Linked DNA regions of Drosophila melanogaster. The protein of the gene in region 4 interacts with the protein of the main gene of each other region in a pairwise test. Each region holds a gene or a part of one and is shown on either strand. Other genes may lie near its edges.

What was found.
Region 1: the proteins of CG14086 (region 4) and CG32579 interact in a two-hybrid assay, tested with the Drosophila melanogaster proteins (one large-scale study listed by BioGRID).
Region 2: the proteins of CG14086 (region 4) and CG4686 interact in a two-hybrid assay, tested with the Drosophila melanogaster proteins (one large-scale study listed by BioGRID).
Region 3: the proteins of CG14086 (region 4) and Kr-h2 interact in a two-hybrid assay, tested with the Drosophila melanogaster proteins (one large-scale study listed by BioGRID).

The regions. Positions count from the first base shown.
Region 1 is NC_004354.4:16,321,658-16,325,630, forward strand, and holds CG32579 (uncharacterized protein), read left to right. Parts: upstream 1-1,628; 5' UTR 1,629-1,810; coding exon 1,811-2,040; intron 2,041-2,116; coding exon 2,117-2,272; intron 2,273-2,421; coding exon 2,422-2,552; intron 2,553-2,791; coding exon 2,792-2,944; intron 2,945-2,998; coding exon 2,999-3,408; 3' UTR 3,409-3,463; downstream 3,464-3,973. Other genes in the region: CG9917 (uncharacterized protein), read right to left, coding at 391-1,296.
Region 2 is NT_033777.3:19,862,892-19,867,398, forward strand, and holds CG4686 (uncharacterized protein), read left to right. Parts: upstream 1-1,604; 5' UTR 1,605-1,941; coding exon 1,942-2,034; intron 2,035-2,097; coding exon 2,098-2,406; intron 2,407-2,525; exon of another isoform or gene 2,526-3,522; coding exon 3,523-3,666; 3' UTR 3,667-3,978; downstream 3,979-4,507. Other genes in the region: CG4572 (uncharacterized protein), read right to left, coding at 1-1,279.
Region 3 is NT_033779.5:6,069,452-6,074,510, forward strand, and holds Kr-h2 (kruppel homolog 2), read left to right. Parts: upstream 1-1,538; 5' UTR 1,539-1,736; intron 1,737-2,761; exon of another isoform or gene 2,762-2,962; 5' UTR 2,963-3,004; coding exon 3,005-3,225; intron 3,226-3,282; coding exon 3,283-3,532; intron 3,533-3,588; coding exon 3,589-3,722; intron 3,723-3,785; coding exon 3,786-4,011; 3' UTR 4,012-4,510; downstream 4,511-5,059. Other genes in the region: Pfdn1 (prefoldin 1), read left to right, coding at 1-38, 108-315; CG9154 (uncharacterized protein), read right to left, coding at 357-727, 782-941, 998-1,138. UniProt on the Drosophila melanogaster protein: Member of the dosage-dependent hierarchy effective upon white gene expression.
Region 4 is NT_037436.4:19,274,274-19,280,457, forward strand, and holds CG14086 (uncharacterized protein), read left to right. Parts: upstream 1-1,517; 5' UTR 1,518-2,319; coding exon 2,320-2,446; intron 2,447-4,655; coding exon 4,656-4,716; intron 4,717-4,766; coding exon 4,767-4,841; intron 4,842-5,111; coding exon 5,112-5,360; intron 5,361-5,424; coding exon 5,425-5,551; 3' UTR 5,552-5,646; downstream 5,647-6,184. Other genes in the region: CG14089 (uncharacterized protein), read right to left, coding at 5,853-6,184.

The DNA.
Region 1 (3,973 bases), on a different chromosome or scaffold from region 4:
GAAATAAAGCATTAGATAAACGCATGACAAAGGCCAGAAGAATTTCTGATTCAGAAGTAAAACTAGAAGGAAGTATAAGCATTGTTTACAATACTACATACATACATACATCAATTGGCAATTAATTACATAAATTAGAAGCACCAAACAAAAACGATATGGCTGGCTAGCCTGGAGCAGCAGCACCTTGGCATGCTTATCCCCGAAAGCGGTTGAACTATGGACACCTGTTCCACGGCTACATGCATATTAATATAAGCGAAGCAAAAGCTTAAAAACAGTGATTATCGTGCTCTTTGATTAATCGCTTTGGAATGCCAAAGTCAAAGCGTTGAGAAGGCGTTTTACAGATTCGGATTCGAGATATATAGCGGACGCCCAGACTTAGAACTAAGAAGACTTTTGTAGAGCGAATCGCAGGATTAGCAAAAAGATGCCCACATGGGTCCACACTTGATGGAATACCCGACTCCCTCCGCTGGCGGCAGCCGCAACGAGCGGCGATTTCTGATTGTCACGGCACATCGTTTGGTTCCGAATGAAGTTGAACATGGACTCGACGAGATTCGCCGGTGTTATGTCCGAGCATTGCTCCAGTTTACGGACCACACACGCCTGCAGAGTCAGCATCTCGTCGCACTGTTTCTGACCGACCGTCAGCTTGGGCATGCTCCTGATGCGGTTGTCCTGCAGATCCGACACGTTCAGGTACTCGGAGAACGTGCTGTTCACGCACTGCTGAATGTTGTCCTTCTGGGACTCAATGCATTCGGGTCCCTTTTCGGCAATGAACAGGGCTATCTGATCGCCATCCTTGTGGCACACAAAGTTGAGCAGACTCTGGATGATCTGCTTAATGACATCCTGGCCCTCGCGCTCCTCCTGCACCAGACAGGGCACCAGTTTGGCCGTGAACGCATCCACACACTCGACGGCATTCGAACGCCGGCTGCAGTACTTGTTGAAGACCACATCCAGTTCGCCCTTGGGCGACGCTTCCTGTATCTCCTGCTGCATTGCCGTGTAGTTGACAATGCCATTGAGGCACTCGGTTAGCACCATGAATCCGGACTCGATCTCGCCGTATGCCTCGACGCCCGCCTCCTCGCCGGCCACCTCGATGCATTTGTTGCGAAATAGCTCCTTGGCGTCGTTCACGCTAAAGTTTGACTTCCTCAGCTGGTCGGGCAGCTGGGTCTGGATCTGATCCAGGTCTAGCTGGGCCATTATGCCGGCAGTGGCGAATATAACCAGCCAAATGGCGTATATCGCATGGCTTACATATGTCCTGTGCATGATGTTTGCTGTATTTTTTGCACTCCTCTTTGTCTTTTTGCTTGCCTCCTCTTCCGTTATTCTCCTTTGCTCTGGTTTTTAAGCTCTGAGATTTGCACTTTTGTTTGTGATTCTATGCGCTTCAAGCAAACATATTTGTTCGTTTTGCGAAATATGCCTATGCCTTTGGGCAATTGGAAAAAATTAATTTAATTAGGAAATCACTGGATGGAAATCCCAATTGGAGATTCTATCCCACCCGTCGGCTAGAGATGGCACTTCGTCGATGACGCTTTCGATGCAACAGCTCACTATCGGCTTTCCGCCGATAAAAGCGTACGATCGATCTATCTCTAGTTCAAATGAACAAGTTCTCGTAGAATTCAGTCTTTATTCTAATCTTCAGTGTTTTGTTTTTTTTTTTAGTCGAAAACCAGTGTCAGCAAGTTGAAGGCGAGAGTAGTTTGGAGGTCGAGGCCTTGGATATTTGTGTGTGGCTAGGGTGGCACATGTGCAATAAGGAGGCGGAGGAGACATGGCCTCCGCGGAGCAAAGAACCGAAGTGGACGCCCTTATGATGGGGCCGATCTCGAAACTAAGCATGCTGCTCACTGTGGTGTCCATTCTGTGGCGCTTCGTCTCGATTTGCATCAACTGGAGCCTGGCGTACGTGTACTGGATGGAGGAGTCCTACGGATACTGCGCCTGGACCATTGGCTCCATTCTGGTGCCCATGGTGGTCACATCGGTCATATATATACATACGTATGTGACATATCGCGATAGCGTGTACTTCCCCCGAAATCTACAGCTAAACGATAAATTTGTATTTGAATTTCAGCTTGAAGAGCGCTCATGCCGGCGAAAAACGCATCCTGGAGCGAGGGGTGTACTCAAATGCTGTGATCTCATATCTCTTCCGCGATGTCTATGTCCTAAACTATGCGTTCAAATACTCGTTGGCCAAGGAGCGGGATGACAAGCAGGCGGAGATCGAGTGAGTAATGCTAGTGTCAGTGTATAAAACTAGTTAATAGTAGCTTAATGCCCTAAATGGTAGTACTGCCGTTTAGTTTATCTTCTCTTTTCATCATAAGTGAGCACTTTAGAATGTTTATAACGAATATCTGAATTCTTATCTTACAGATATTACCAAAAACTCATGACGGAGGAGTGCAATGTTAGTTTCGTTCGTCTATTCGACTCGTTTTTGGAATCAGCACCGCAGAAAATACTACAGCTGGCAATTCTTTTGCAATCGACATTGGAGTTCACATGTAATACGATATTAATACTACATTAGTGCCATATTTCAATCTCTCTCTCTCTCTGCCTTAATTAAGATAACTAATGCATAAGTAATTTAAGCTTATAAACACCAAATTCTGACGTTCACTTTCGCAAATCAAAGTCAGTTTAGGCGTTTAGCCTAACTCATTGATTGTAGCCAACGAAAGTGAAACTCGGAATGGAAAGTCGATGGATGCCATTTACCCATTCAAATTTCTTTTCCCAGACTACCGCCACATCGCCCTGATCGTCTACTTCGGCAACATAGCGTGGTGCATCCAGGCGTACAATCACTCCAATCGCCTGGCCCAACTGGACAAACATGATATTGCGGCGAAGGGACGATTTCTGCAATTTCTCTTCCTGCTCTGCCTCACTGGTTAGTAGTAGTTAGTTAGCTGTGTTGCTTAGAATGTGTATATTAAGCTTTTAGTTATTCGCTTTTATTTCGTAGTTTCGAGAACGCTTTGCATCGCGTATGTGGCCAGTATTTTTCCCATCGAAACGCTGATCATCTGCGCGACACTGGCTTGCTTTTACGGCACCATTGTGTTCTTTGTGGACTCGCCAATGATCGCAAAATCCCGCCCCATGAACTATTCGTACTGCCTGTGCTTTGGCGTTGTCTATCTATTTATTTTTACGCCCGTCAAGGATGCACCAACCAAATATAAGTACGCCTTCTATCTCACATTCTGTTTGTTGCAAAATATCATCGCCTGCGCTTTGTACATTCCCTTGTATCTTGCCACAGCCATCATTGCCTTGTATATTGTCGGAATTGTTCTGTTAATAATCTACTACACGTACTGCCATCCAAATACTGTGCGTACTTATTTTTAAAATTCTAGCATAATTAGTAGCATTTTGTATATTTGCAATAAACGTTGTTATGCCCACTTGTGATGCGCCTTTGATTTTCAATTGGCTTAAGCTGGTTTCAGATCTAATCTAATATCTAATATGCATTGTGTTTTTATTAGAGGATATATACATACATACATACACACATATGTATATGCAAATTTGATTTCATTTCTAGATTTTCTATCGATATTTGACCATCGATTAACTGATAGTTAGGTTTTAAATTTAGTTAGAACTTTTCTTTGTAGCGGAACATCAACTAAAGGATATATATAGATATATATAATATAAATGTGAACTATATGAATTGAATGTGACACAATATAGTCGCACATACATATATATGTACATACATCTATGTTTGTATTTAAGTGTCATTAAAAAGATGTCATATTTATGTGTTAATCCCGTGTACTTAATTTGAAGCGCTTACTAAATATTTTTCAAATGCAATGCCTTTCTGTTCAACTAGTTCCCAAATATTGATCAGCAAATGCATCATAATTGAATCGATCATTCCAGATGCGCATGCGCAACGCGC
Region 2 (4,507 bases), on a different chromosome or scaffold from region 4:
TGTACTTGTCCGAGCCGGGGAACTTTAGTTGGTTGAGATAATTGCGCGTCAGTGGATAGGCAACAATAATGTCTAGCTGCCCGCTGTAGATGCACACAGTATAGTGGGCCAGCAGTTCGGCTATCCACGGGGCCACCGAGTCCATGATATCCTTCTTCAAGTGAAGTTCCACCTTGTTCTCCTTGTCCAGATCATGGAATGTCTTATTGCCCACATGAATTGCCCGCCGAGTGGCGCCCGCCTGCAGAAATTCGCCCAAGTTGGCGCCATCATCATCATGCGTCTTCAAGTAGTTGTAGTACCAGTTGTATCCAGTAAGGTTGCTGAACAGTGAGCCATTGGTAAGGTCCCCGTTGATTAGGGAATCAAATACGTCGAAGGCGCACTCCATGTCGTGACTCTTAATGCATTCAGCACCCTTTGCCTCGGCATCGTGGAAACTCTGCAGTCCGTGCTCGTCGATCAGGCCCAGCTGGTAGAGATAGTCACCGTACTTCAGCTGATGCAGCGGATCCGAGAGACCATTTCCGATGGCCACGCCCTTGAGCGGCACATAGACGCGGGTCTCTATGGCATTTTGTACCTTGTGGATGTGGTAAGCCAGGGCGGGAACGTATTTTCCGGCATAGGACTCGCCGGTGACCCAGAAACCAGAGGAGTTGCTCCACTCGAAGAGTTCGTACAGCTGCATCACAGCCTCGTGCAGATTGCGGCCCACATCCTTCTCGTTCGTAGCATAGCCGGCATCGTTCTCTGTAAAACTAAAGCCAGTGCCCACGGGATTGTCAATGTAGATGAGATTGTGTGTCTTGCTCCAGGTATAGTTGCGTTTCTGAAGCTTCCCATGACCATCCAACTCTAGTGGTCCATTCTCTGTGAACAAACCGAAGAGCGAGGAGGCACCTGGTCCACCCTGAAGCCACAGGACCACTGGCGCATATTCCGGCTCCTGCTCGGCGGGGAAGTACCAGAAGAACATGTTGGATTTGAAGCCAGGGTCCACGGTCAAATAGCCGGAGTAGCTCTCAACGCCATGGAACTGGGAGCCTACGACGCGGGCCAGCTTTTGAACCTCTTGCTTGCTCATCGAAGCATTGTTGATCAGGGGCGTCAGGAACAGGGGCTCCCCGGGATCGACACCATCGTCAAAGAACTGGTAGCGTGGATACGGATTGATGAAGCTCCGCCTGTAGGGGCGTTCCCCCTCTACTCCTTTTGCTCCGCTTATTGCGACTATAGTCGCGATAATTAAAAATGCGCAATGAGTTGCAGTTTTCATTGTTCAACTGCGCTGATTCGACTGAAAAGCGATCGAATTGTCAGTGGTTGCTTTGCTTATTCAGCTTATGTATATGTATTCTTATATTCTTATTATCGCCCCGACCTGCTCACGAATCGGCCGATAAGGGGTTTAAATCAGTTCTCTCACTTGCCTTGCTTTTATTCGCACAGCCGGCGAAAAAATTTAGCTTTCCCAATTGAGCAGCACTGATATTTCAGTGTATCCGCACCGGTCAAACGGTAGGGTTGTCAAGTGAAGCGAATTTATCAGCTGTGATTTTTTACTAAGAGCGACTTCTGAGTTATGGATTGCAAGTAGTTCTTTTGTCGGAATTATTAAAAATAATCATCAACTAACTCTATATTGGTTTAGTTTTTCGCAAATAAATGAAAGCTTGAATTTGAAAGGTTTAACCAGGGATATAAAAGTCTCCAAAGTACCTATATATGTTCTGTTTTGTTGCTTATATCACCATTTCTTCTCACTTCAAATGGTAAGAAATTCTCGTTCCCGAGGCATTCATATTTCTAGAATCCAAACAATTGGCAACATCGAATACAACGGCAGTCCGGCAAGGCCAGGGCATTTTGCGTCAAAATTTGTAGTAGCGCCGCAGCTGATTTTCCATCGCCAAACAAAGTTTGAGCAAACAATACACAATGTCAGTCGCTGACACCATTGAATACGTGACCCTGGGCAATCCTGTCAGCAAGATGGTAGCCTCGTCCGCATCCGCCCTGCTCCGCACGCTTGTAACTAATCGACTTTTCCTAGACAATGTTCCGGATTTATAATTCTTAACTGTCTTCCTGCAGGGTCTGCGTCCCAAGAAGGTGCCGGTGCAGGAGACGAGTATGGCGGTGCTCCCTGCCGCCCACAGCTACGCGCATTCACACGGATCACTCTATCGACTGGCCGGCTGCCATTACCACTTCATTCGGCTGGCCGGGATCGTCGGCGCGTCGGCCATCTTTATGGGCGCCTACTGCAAGTACGTCCTGAAGGACGTCAGCGATCCCAAGGAGCAGGTGGACTCGCAGGCCTTTGCTGATGTGGCCAATCGCATCCACTTTCTGCACTCCTTTGCCATGATGGCCATGCCTCTGGCCCACTATCCCGTATTCGTAAGTTTAAATGGAAAAAGTCAAAATTTGTATTTCGTTGAAGATGTGCCTGGTTAAGTCCTACCTCCGCCAGGCCCATCCTCTGTACTGACCCCAAGGAAACCATTTATCATAATTGATCTCGGTCGTGTATTTGGTTTATTTGTAAAGCTTTCTTTGTTGGTTTGTCATTTACATAAACTCTGTGTAAAGTTAGATCTCTGAACGGAATTTATAACAACTCGCGTTACTCTCGAATCGAAACTCCAACATTGATACTCGAATAATTGACTCTCTGCTTAGCTAGTCTAATGCGCTGATTGACATTACAAAATTGAGCTATGAATGAATATTGATTTGAGCCAAGCGCTTTCTCCAAGTTACTTCTTTATAATATAGGTATGCATATGTATATTTATGTTGTATATGAAATGTTTCCAAAGCTAAAGCTAAATGTTCAACAACCACTAATTGCAGCTTACAAAGTAATTTTCAATACCACACACGATACTTGTATAATAATTGCGTTAATTCGGATAACTCTTAGGTTTGTGATATGAGCAGGTTCATAGCTGATATGGGTTCGGGGTTTTGGGTAGGAATTTGTTGATTTACTCTCTTCATAATTACAATCGTATGTTAAAAATGTACCAAAAAGGCATAGATTTTCTCGTTTTTGCTGTTATCTTGTAATTGGTATTTGTTGTCATCAGCCTTATTTAATAAGTAAAATCTGGGCTTTATCGAGCTCCGTTTTGTCGACGTTTTAAAGCTAACAACTAAAGCTAACACCAAATATGCACTCAAAACGCTGGCCATCTTCGCAAACTTCTACTCCTAGACTATAAACTATAGGGCCTGTTCCGTTTTAGAGTTTTCTGATTAAGAAATGTAAATGCATTTAGATAACAATGTGACTTAAATTTTGGGTAAACTATTTGCAATTTGGAATTTCTTACATATGTATATCTTGATTCCTGACTAAACATTTAAATGCTATAAATTCTTTGCATCCTAAAATCGTTTAATTACAATAGTCGTGCTTAGCTTTTCATATAGATTTCGAGAACAGTGGGGCTTGGAACAGGCCCAAATGACTGTGGTTACTTAAAGTAATTGGTTTATTTCCTCCCGCAGACTGGCACTTTGATGATTACGGGCATGATGCTTTTCAGCGGCTGCATGTACTACCGCGCTTTGACTGGCGAGAAGCGTCTGCAACCGTACGCGACCGTCGGAGGATTCTGCCTGATGGCCGCGTGGCTGTCGCTGGTCCTGTAGGATGCGCGGGGCAGGCCACCTATCTATATTCCATGTAGCACATGCTGAACTGCAATTTAGTGCAGAGGCAAATAAAGCTAAGCCAACTCTAACATACAACATCATCTAACATAATACAACATCAACTAAATATGAGTTACTATATCCGCTTTTAGCCATTATTTACAATAATTATAGTGAGGGCTTTGCAGCTAATGGAAGATACTTTTGAGTTAAATGCGTACAATCTCTTAGTGTATATAGCAGGCTAATGTAAGTCGCTAAATCGTTATAATGAAATAAAACAAATAAAAACGTTTTAACAAAAGAACCAACCGAGCTGTTACATTTATTGTATACCTGTACATTAATAAATTACTATAAAAACACTCATATATTTATACTAGGCGTAACATTTCATAGAATTCTCTTTTAGTTTTTTCTTTTTTTGGGGCTTTTCATTGGGTTTTTTTTTTCTTTAAGGTTGTTATTGTCGTTTTACTGGAACACATAATACAAATGCAATGCGACCTTTTGAAGGCCAATGCACAAAGTTCAGCTAAAATTAATTATTGCACAATTTGCAGTTTATATCAATCTTTCTTTTTTTTAAGGTACAAAAACATTTAGTCCCTACGCTCCTCTAACATCAGCTTATTGTCTTGCTGTTTGATTTCTCATCAGTTTCCTAGTTTTATACACCTGACTAACTATTATTTTGATTTGTACACGTCTTGTAAAAAGTTTCTCAGCGGCAGCTCAGTGGGGATGTCTGCTGGCGCCGCTGATGGCTTGCTATCCTAACAACTTCTGCTTGGAGGCCTCCGCAAAGAGGAAGGTCTTCTGAATGCCCGCATTGGCC
Region 3 (5,059 bases), on a different chromosome or scaffold from region 4:
ACAGAAAAGGGCACCAGCAGCTTGGCCGACGACACAAGGTACATAACTAGAATCACAATTAATCATCTCCAGGTGTTCAGGTGGCTAATTGAACTGTTTCCCTATAGAGTTTACCAGTCCGTGGGTCGCATGTTCCTGCTTACCGATGTACAGAATATGCGCGAGGACCTGAAGGCTAGGCAGGAGAAATGCGACAAAGCGATAGAACTGCTGGAGAAGAAGAAGGAGTTCTTGCAGAAGTCCCTTAAGAGCCAGGAAGACGGTCTGCGCGAGTTGGTGCAGCAGCGCAAGGAAGCCGATCAGACTGCGAAATAGACTACAACTCCAAACTGGCATTTATCCCTCAACGCAATTGCTTATTTATTTTCAATATACTCGTCTAAATTGAAGTTGGCGTAGCTGACAAACTTGTTGCCCAGATTGCGTTCGTGTTCCGGGCGGAAGCTGCACTTGAGGACGGGCAGGCGAGCGGTTAGCCAGGGCTCCACCACCTCACCGGAGCACAGGATTACCTTGCTCTCCTTCTGGTTTCGTTGCAGCCTAGTGATTATTTCACACGTTTTGGCGATGCACTCCTGGGACAGGAAGGGCGGGTCGGCCACGATGAGGTCATATTGCTGGTGGTGCTCTTTGAGGTAGTCCGGGTTGCTCCCTACGCAGTTCAAGTCGTAGTGCACAAAATCTGTGCCATAGGCCTCGAAACGCTTGTCGAACTCGAATATGTGCACTACAAGATAGAATGATGACAATTCATTCATAATCGTTTCACATGTCCACTTACCTGTGTCATGTATCTCCCTGATGTCCTTGTAGAGCGATGGGCAGGAGAGCAGTGCTATACTAAAGTCACCCGAATCCTCCGTGCGCTCCGCCAGAAGCTTACGCACAACATCACGCAATGCGTGCTTGGTTTCCGTGCTGTACCAGAACTGACTCAATTGCTGCAAGCGAAGAGAGTTTCACCATAAGTTTCTAAGGTATGTGCAGGTGCTCTTGCCCAATCCTCCTCGAACTGGGCATCCTTGCCGGTCTTGTTGGCGATTTGATTCTCCTCCTCGGCTTCGCGTTTTGATCTCTCCAACAGAAATTCGTTTAAAATGGCCAAAGTGTCGGCGGGCAGCGAGATGTCGTCGTCCATAATTAATTATTTGCCACTAAATGAATCTTAGAGCATTCAAATCAAAATAAACCAAAATGTGCGTTTGAAGATTAGAGGTGCGAAATTAGCGATACAAATGAGAACTTATTGGGGGGATTCCAGGCCTTGGCGCTGTTTTCAAATTGTAAATTATTAGAAACTTAGGCCAACTGCGATATTGAAATTATACTTTCAAAATAATATGCACTTTAACCGTATGCAAATCGATTACCAATTTTAATTTATTTTAAGTTATTTTATTAATACAACTAGCTCCAGAAACCTGTATCGTAACTTTTATTTGACAACACATTTTCAAACTGTACTGAATATTTAGGCGTTTAATCGACAACTAAAACAGCAACTTTCAAGTACGTGGTCTTTAAATTTCGTAAGATCGAGAAAGCAGTGCGATACAAATCGGTGGCAGCCCTGTGTCAGTTCGTTTTTATCGAACTAGATCAACTTTGCCCGTCCATCTCTAGTTCGCACGGGAGCCCCGACCAAACTGATACGTATTAATTTACGAGAAAAACTTGCGTTTAATTCGAAGTCACATCATATCGCAGGCTGGAACGTACCTGCTGCTAAGTAAGAGGTAAGTGAATGGCCAACGTGAATTAGGAAAAATCAGTGCCTTGCCGGAAACGAAATCCATGTGATTAAAGGCTAACTTTCTTCGCTTGACGTCGTTCCCAAATCGGATAAAAGTGTGCTGCTGGCCCAGTAATTACACTGGTGAATTATGCAGGTCGGCATTTGGACTCGCTCCGCGACTTCCGTGCGGGGGAGGAAGCATCCAATCCCCAAGCGCAACCGTTTCGAATTTCTACAGCGCGGCGCGAAGAGCCCTGCACTTTGATTTCGTTGCCGTTCATTGTGGAGTTCAGTCGGGTCAATCAGCCTCAATTTGCGAGACTTACCTTCTGAATCTCTGACGTGTACCTACCAACCAAACTGTCCACTATGTGACATCATATAATTGGGCTTCCGACTCCGGACTATTGCATGAATAATGTGCGCGCGGGTTGACAGGTGCTACCTTAAATTGACTAGGTGACCCACTTCCGTTGAAGGACCCTCCGTCCACAGATCCCAATCGATACGGCTGCCCCACTGCCAGTCTCATTACTCGACATGTAAATCGAAAGTACACGTAGGATGGACCCCCTCGGTTGGGTTTACTTAATCGCTCAGACCAGCCCACTCCCCCTCCCATGTTTCACCTGTTGCCACCTGTTTGTGTTTCAATATTTTGACGTGTATTTCGTAACAACATGCACATTGTGCGCTGTCTTGCAGTTTTCTCTTCGAGCTTCGTAACGAAATCTTTGCGTTTAGTGCGCTAGGCATCATAAACCGCATACTCGAGAAATATAATTGCCAAACCGTAAGAGTACATGATACTTTAGCGATGGCTTGGCTGTTTTCTTTTTTTGGTTGCCTCATGCAAAGCACTGTCCGTAATGGTGGGCAAGTCATCTTGGCTAAAGCGAACATTAACACGACTTTTGGGCCAGCCCGTTCTCGTTTTAAGTGCGTTTGCCAGCCACTTTCCATTTGACTGGTTTAACAGTTGGCCCTGACTTTCAATTAAGACGTAAAGCGCTTGGCACTGAGAAGCGTAGTGCAGTCTAATCCTGGAGTCATAGAGGGCAGATCTTGCGGGCTATTCATTAGGTTGGAACCCTCACACATCAGATAGCGCCGCAGTTACTTAGCCAAGGTTCTCTTATCGCTGCCTATGCCTAAGATAGCAGCCAAATTCCCGCCGATAAGGCCGAAAGTAGAAACCTTATACTGATTTTCATAACTGCCTTGCAGACTGAATACTGAACGGAAAGCGAGCACGAAAGCTACTTCATCATGAGCGCACCCACCGACCAACCACCGCGCTCCGAGGGCGCTCAGACCAACAGCTCCGAGAGATCCTCACAGCAGCAGGAGCAACCGCAGCAATCTCAATCACAGAACGTACCGGCCAAGCTCCTGCAGCATTTTCAGACAAATCGCATAGATTCCGCGCTATGGGCACTACGTCTGCTGGTCATCTTCTTCACCGTCAGCTACGTGCTGCCCATCTTTACGTGAGTACACGCGTTTTCCACATTGACCTACTCTAATTTTCACTTACTTCTCCACAGCTCACAACAGAGCGCATTCAGCAAGGTTATGCTGGCTAATGCCGCCATCTCTGCCTTGCGTTTGCACCAGAGATTGCCCGCGTTCGCGTTCAGTCGGGAGTTCCTTGCTCGACTGTTTGCCGAGGACTCGTGTCATTACATGATGTACTCCCTGATCTTCTTCAACATCCGCCCATCGCTGCTGGTTCTGATTCCCGTGCTGCTGTACTCAGTTCTGCACGCCTCAAGCTACTCGCTTAAGCTGCTGGATGTAAGGAAAGCAATATTTCACATTTGGCACTTGTCTAATAAGAAATGTACTTACAGCTGATTGGCCAGAACTCGTGGTGGGGTGCCCGTTTCATCATCTCCATTGTAGAGTTTCAGGCGGCGAATATCCTGAAGGCAACTGCATTCTGCGAGATCTTCATCATGCCTTACGCCATTGTGCTGGCCTTCATGTGAGTTTTAACACATATCTTTCGAGGGGAATGCACTCCAATGCAGAATACTTTCAATTTTAGGAACCACGCTGGATTGATGACGCCCGTTATTTACTACCACTATCTGGTGATGCGCTACAGCTCGCGACGAAATCCCTATCCGCGCAACGCTTTCGCTGAGCTGCGTATAACCTTCGAGGCGCTGGCCGCCCGCTCACCGCCCGCCTTTGCCAAGATCATCCGTGGAGGCATTGGGTTCGTCAACCGCTTGGCGCCGCAGCTACAGCCGGCTGCAGCGCAAGAGTAGACACGACAAGCAGCTAACGGAAAACAACAATCAAATGACATATGAATAAGGCTATTTAAATACCAGTTCACTTGCATAGATGTTCACACAGGAGATTGGGGTTCATCCGTTTTATTTGTTAGCCGAAATTCGTTGCACCTTTTCGAAGCGAAACTAGTTGTTTTACACCAGATTGTTTCGGCATTTAAGTTTAAATTTATCTATATATTATTGTAGTTTTTTTTGAGTACATCATCATGCTTTTTTCAACAACACACAATGTGGCAACGCACGAATTCCGCCATGGAGGATCAACGGCGCGTATTACTATATTTATATCCCAAAAACAAATTATTTCAATTTGTTTTGCTTTAACTTATATGTTCAAAATACTGATCAAACGAAAAACATGGACAGCTAACGCTGTTAGTAATTATTTACATATATTTTGTATGAGTGTGTAAAGATTCGAAGAACCAAACAAAGTAAAGTAAAGTTAAATAAAACATTTTGAGAAGGTACTAGAATTTGGACTACAATTTTTTCTGGTTGATTGGCTTTAAATCTTCTGCTACTGTATTAAGTGGTTTGCACTTAACTTGTTTCTTCTCAAGCCAATTAAAAAATGATATCAATCGTAATAATTTTCGTATCATCCTTAAAGTATGCAATACCTTAATTTCTCCACTTTTGGTCAGCGGGCTCAAACAGGTGAATGGAAGCGTTCCCCAACATACTCCAGATCAGGATCACTAGTCGATTTGGCCATGTTCCAGTCGGACACGAATAGTAGCAATCTAAGCACTTTTGTACAGCGCCGAAGCATCAACCCACAACGAAACTAATGAAATGATTTCTGGGTGTGAGGCTAGGGCGTTGGTAGCTTGTCGTTGGCTCTGGACTTCTTCCGAATTTCCACCAAGTTCAATGAACTTCTTGCGCAGCGCCAAAAAAAAAAAATGTTCGTCCAAATGAGGGTGAAGGCACCCGAGCTTTGTTGTGTTGTGTAGGTGAAACGACTCACTTTCGTTCTCAGTGCCGGGAAAACTTTGGGGCAGGGGCTTTTCCT
Region 4 (6,184 bases):
GAAGTATTTCGCTAGAATCCTCGAGCTGTTCCTTAAGGAAATTAACTTTTCAGAGTGTGGGGCATCTGTGAATTATGTCGTAGATGGCGGCGACAGTGGAGACTTTCCTTGGGGCGACGGCTGCCACTTTGGATGTCATTAACGCCGCATAATGCAAACAAGCCTGACGACAGACACCTTAGCAAATGCACAGGACAATAAGCGGAGGAGCTAAAAAAATATTTACTCGTGCTTCCCCTCTCCTGAATTTGGCCCCCATTTAATTTATGAGGATGAGGGCGGTGTAGCAACCGAAAATGTTTTTGTCCACATTCTGCGTACTCGTCCGCCTCTTGGCAATTGCTCAGCTTTGCTCCTGGTTGTCTTTTGAGCTTCTTTACACCTCCCGCCGCTCCGCTCACCATTCAGCCAGTTATGAAAATTACTGAAACGTGGCCAAAGACGGGTGCGGGGATCCACAGGACCTGCAGGACGAGGGCACGCACACACAGAGCCGCTTGAGCAGTGGCAACAACATGAGGCACTGGCTTCACACACAGGACAACGTGACAAATAAAATCAAGCTGGCTTTGAGCAGTGGGCCGAGAATCCTGTTTTAGGCTTAAAACTTCAATATTTGTAATAGTTAAAGATTATCTTTACACCTGGTAGAATATTTATCAAGTGCATATAAGTAAGATTTTCGTTGTGTAAAATCGTAGGTAAATTTCATACTTCCCTCTTCTTTTACATTTGGAAAAATCGTAATCAAGTAAGCATTCGGGTGGGAATATATTTAAATCACACACAATATTAAGCTCTCGCCCATGGTGCCTTCTTGTAAAAAACCGCAGGACTATAAAGACTGACCCAATGCGCTACGCTACACAATAAATCGCGAGAGGAAACACTTTTTACAAAAAAAAAGAGATAAAACATACAAACAGTTCTAATTAAAATACTGAAGACAAAAAGAAAATTAATTATTTATTTGAGTTCCTTAATTATATTAACAATGTAATTCAAAAATTGTATTCCTACTACAATACTAAAAAAAAACCAAGTTAAATAACTTCTGATTGAAATTAAAGCATTATTCTAGTTAAAAATCAGCCCTATATTCTTGCTTTCAATTAATATATTTCAAGAGCATAGTTTTAAAGAATTCTCATACTGCCAACGCCAAATAAGTTTTCAAATACAAATGATAGTGGATGTCAAAAACAGCTAACCAATTAAAAACATCTTTAAAACAACATGGATAAATTTTGCGGTCTCCATAAATCTCAGCATTAAATCGCAAAAACGCATTTAAAAAGAAATAAACACTACGCGTTCGTTCTCGTAACAAATCAACTTAGCAGTTTCGAATGCAGCGCCGCCCCATTGGCTGGTATTTGGCTACAAAGTCAGTGGCAGTAGGAAAAGCAATGGGAAAAGCAGCCTGAGCGGCGACTCTGGATCCTGACTCCGAAAATAGAAACGAATCCTGGCCGGTCCTTTCATTCAGTTTCATTCTGCTGGCGCCGCTGGAAGCGTGCGGACGTTCGTTGTTTAGAGCTCGGCCATAAAGTCGTGTGGCAAAGTGGCACTTGACAAAAATAAAAAAAGTTACAAACCTTCAACAACAATAAGAAAAATATTTAATAAAAAAAATATATATTATAGAGGGCACACAACGTGCGGGGGCAAAGTGCAAATGGTAACGGTAATTTGCAGACATTAGTTGCCACACACACACACACACACACACACAAGCAAACGGTGCGGTGATTAAAGGCAATGGAAGGAGAGGTGCGAAAAATGTCACATTACGAATACGCAGTGTGTGCCCGAGTTAAATGGTGAAATTTAAAAGCTGTGCGAGCTGGAATTGAAAATATTTATCGCAAAGTTGTTTGGCCACTTAGTATGCCAGGCACGTAGTGCATTTTTGTGATGTGGATACGGCTCTTTGATTGTTTTATTAGCGATTCCCTTGGACAGGACCTAAAACGTCAGTTTCGGATGAGAGTATTTAAAGTTATGGAGGATTAGAAAGTAGTACATTGAAAATTTGAATTTAACCAAAAACTAAAATTGTTCTAAAGTGAAATTAAAAACGAATAAATATATTAAATAAATTGGAAATTAAGTAAGTGGAGCTTACACATTAATCAAAAATTTAAATGCTATGGCTTCGACTTTTGTCATCAGTAATAACGAAGGAGAAGAAAAACTTGAGCTCCAATAAATAAGATATTAAGAATAAAGCCGCACTTTTGGCGATTCATAAAACAAATATAGATAGAAATTCATAAAGTAAATATCTATATATATATATATATAACCAAGTCAGCCATGAGCCAGATGCAACTGCAATCGCAGCGCGTTCGCCGCGCCCGTCATCATCGCCGCAATCAGTCCGCAGAGCCGTGCGAGTGCCTTCGTCCTGTGATAAGGGTTTTTGGTCTGCTGACTTCATTCGGTAAGCTCAAGTGCGCGGAAATCCGAGCCAGTGGAATAAGACTTGTCGGTGCCGGTGCCCAGGTGACCCCCGTTTCGAGATAATGCCAATCTCGATACGAGGCTATGATGCATGTGCATGTGCATGCATTTATGTATGAATGTGCAATGCTTTTCTGGCCCTTATTTGGAATGTTTACCCTTGACAAATCGTAGGAAATACTTGTGCATGGGAACCATTGCCTCGGGATATGTTGAGTGCTGTGGCTTATTATATTTCTTGGCACTGAATGGGATTCGCAAGACGAAGACGATGCTGAATGGGGACACGCTCTTATTGGCTGCTTTTATTGTTCCTTTCAATTCATATAATATTACTCTTTGAGCAATATTTTCATTGTACACAAAGGTTTTGCATTTGTTTGAGAAGACTGGCAAAATAAATGTACATAAAAGGAAATGGTTTTCCATATTCACAGAGCACATATAGCACAGAATATGTGCTCTAATGAACAGGATATTTGACCTAATGTAATTTGGTAAAATAAATAAATGCCATCCAATACTACTGAAATTCCAGTTTAGCTTAACAATTAAATAGAACACAGAGAGTAAATTGGTAGAAGATTAATTTCCCTTTTTTTGCGTCATTTAATTACAATTCAATTATGCTTTTTTTGTACAACCCAGCTTTGTGTTACATTTTTTCCGTTTAAATTGAGGCAATAATTTTAGATTGACAGCCTGAAATTTAATGGCATTTCGTTTGTCAATTTACGAAGTCAAATTTAATTTATTAAACAGGCAAGGTAAAGTGAAGCAAAAACTTAATAAATAATAATATTACCTTTCTGAAATGAATTCAGTTTGGTTGCACAACGTAACTTTTTCACCCTGTATCCGCATTCTAATCTACGAAAATGCAATCACATTTTTTCATCCCAATTTTTCTGCCATCTGGTGAAGTTATCAAAGTTGGCTTAAACGCTTATCGTGGCCAATCATAACGATTTTCCTCCACCATCTGACATTTTCCTAATGCGCTTAAGATAGTGCACCGCCGTTTTTTTATACAGAATTTGATAAATCGCCCAGCTGCAGGCAGGCCAACAAAAACTTCGGGTCAAGTTCAAACTAATTTCTTTGCAAATTGTTTTGGGGTCCATCATGGGTGCAGTGGCACGCAGGAAAACAAAGTATAAAATCTCTGTAGTTCATAAGCTCCGCATTATAGGGATCGGGTAAGAGGGATGGGGTTTTCCAAGGAAACTCTCTGGCAGAGCCATTAACAAGGCATTGGCCTCTATGCAGCTTGCAGCTTGCAGCTCACGACTGGCATCCTGTGCCAAGAGCAGAGTTTTCCCAGCCCGATTTTCCCCTTATCAGCAACTTTTCCATACGGTCGACAATGAGCTGTGTTGTTAGCCTTTAGGCGCCAGCCATTCGCCAAGTTTTCCTCTTGCCCGGCATCTATTTTTCCCCCACCGCTTTCAATTATCCAGATAATTTTTGCATGTTTTTTCGATTTCCGCTTTTTCAATTTTTATCTCCGTTGACAGCATTTAATGTAATTGGTTTGGTTTCGGTTCTGCAGTTGTGCTTAAATATGGGGCATACATATACATATATCTAACTGGCTAATCTGATTGGTTTTTCGCGACCCGGCATAATAAAAACAACTTAATTAGATTGTATTTTTATGGACCACTGGGCGTGGTGGCTCCATAACCACATCTAACCATATCTTATACACTCAAAGTGGATTTGGCTAAGACAAAATGTGAAGCGGAACCATAATGTGGTTAGAATATGAATGCCCTGCGGAGGGCTGTTCGACAAAAATATAGAAACCTTTTAAGTTATAAAATTTAAGTTCGTCATGAATATTGAAGTTTCTTCCAAGCTATTTATTATTAATTATCATTATGTTATTTCGTAATGTGTAGGACATTGCCTTCTTAAAATACTCTATTGCAAATGATGTAAGCTTCAGTAAAATTGCGATAAACTTCTTGAGCTCACCTCGTTTCCATTCATTGGTTTTGTATTACATTTTATGGCCAAAGCATGGTAAACAAAAAAGGCCCAGCTCAATAAATATGCTTATAAATATATTTGCCTAGACACACTCACATTATTTTATAGGCTCGTTCAAGGATAACACTCCTCGTTTCAACCCGCCAAAAAGGACCCCCCGCACCGAACCTTTCTTTAGCCATTTTTCATTTCAGTTATCTGCGGCGTTGGCGTTGATGTCTACATGCATGGCTATCGGGCCGGTCTTTATATAGTGTAAGTCACGGATCTAAATATCCCCCATAACTATACTAATTTCTGGTTAGTTTTTCAGCCGTGCTGGTAATGTTTATCGAGATCAAGTGGCTTGTGACTATCTTCCTGCAACTTCAGTGCGCAGAGTAAGAAAACTATTCAAGATTACCAAATAACATGTTCATAAATTATAGTTATTCGTATATATATTATTTGATAATTAGCAGTTATTATTTATGAAATATAGAAATTCTAGTTACCAAGCCTAGTAGTTGTAAAACTAATTAAACCCTAATTATACTATAATATGATATACTTTACTATTATATACAATACTCTATATCAAGTGCCTTTGCTCAGATTTTTCTCTGCAAATTTTTCTCTGTTCACATATTTGTGAATTCAATTTGTTTCAGGGATAATTACCAGCGAAGGTCCTGCAGCTGCTTGGCCTGCTGGCGACTTTCAGCGATTTGTGGCGGTTGGCGACCCACTCCTGTTTATGCGGTCATCGGCATCTGCCTGATCCTGTATCCCCACAATCTGTGGCTGAGTTATGTGGCCGGGATGTTCCTGATACTCCTCGGACTCCTCAGACTGTGCACGCTGCTCCGATTCAGCGCCTCGAAGGAGGAGGGTCTCCTGCCGCAGTGCGACTTTGAAAAGTGATGCCAGCCAACGAATGTCTTTGTTATTTGTTTCTAATGTCTGTTTGTTCTGCGATGATAGGGTGTCGAGCTTTGTGGATACCATGGAGGATGATTTCGCGGAGATTGGTGCCACGCAAGCGGGATTGGATGAGGAAGCGGAGGAGGAGGGCGACGACCACACCGCCCTAGACGACGATGTTTGCTAATAGTTTAAGCCAGCTTTTCTGCCTAATGTAATGTGAGATTTTAAACGACTTAACAAATGTCTAATAATATACAGTTTGTAAAGAGGTTTCGATTTAAACGCTGAGTGCGTGGTATATTTTTATAGGTAATCGATAAACCCACACTTTGTATGATTTTTGGTGTCATTTATAAACGAAGCCACTCAAAAGTCAAAAAGGACATTCTTCAAAAGAATTTTGAAAGTTCCTTTTAAGTATTGGGTATCTGCTTTTTACCTACAGAAATAATTATCAAAGCTATTTCGTTTTAAATAATGTTATTTTAATTTCGTCTTTTATTGTTTTTTGTGCTAAACGGATTTCTGCGTTCACTAAAGGCCAAAATGAAGGGCTGGTCGTCGAATTCTTCGGTTTTTCTCAGACCAAAAGAACGCTCATTGCCGTAATCATACTCGTCCTCATCATAGTAGTTATAGTAGTGCCTCTGGTGGCCTTTAGGGCCTCCATGTCCATGTGATGGAGGAGGAGGAGGTGGAGGATACGGATACGGTGGATATGAACCTCCGGGATATCCAGGAGGACCCTGAGGACCAGGTTGGCCAGGGATTCCAGGCATCCCGGGGTGGCCCTTATCTCCACGCGGCCCCTTCTCGC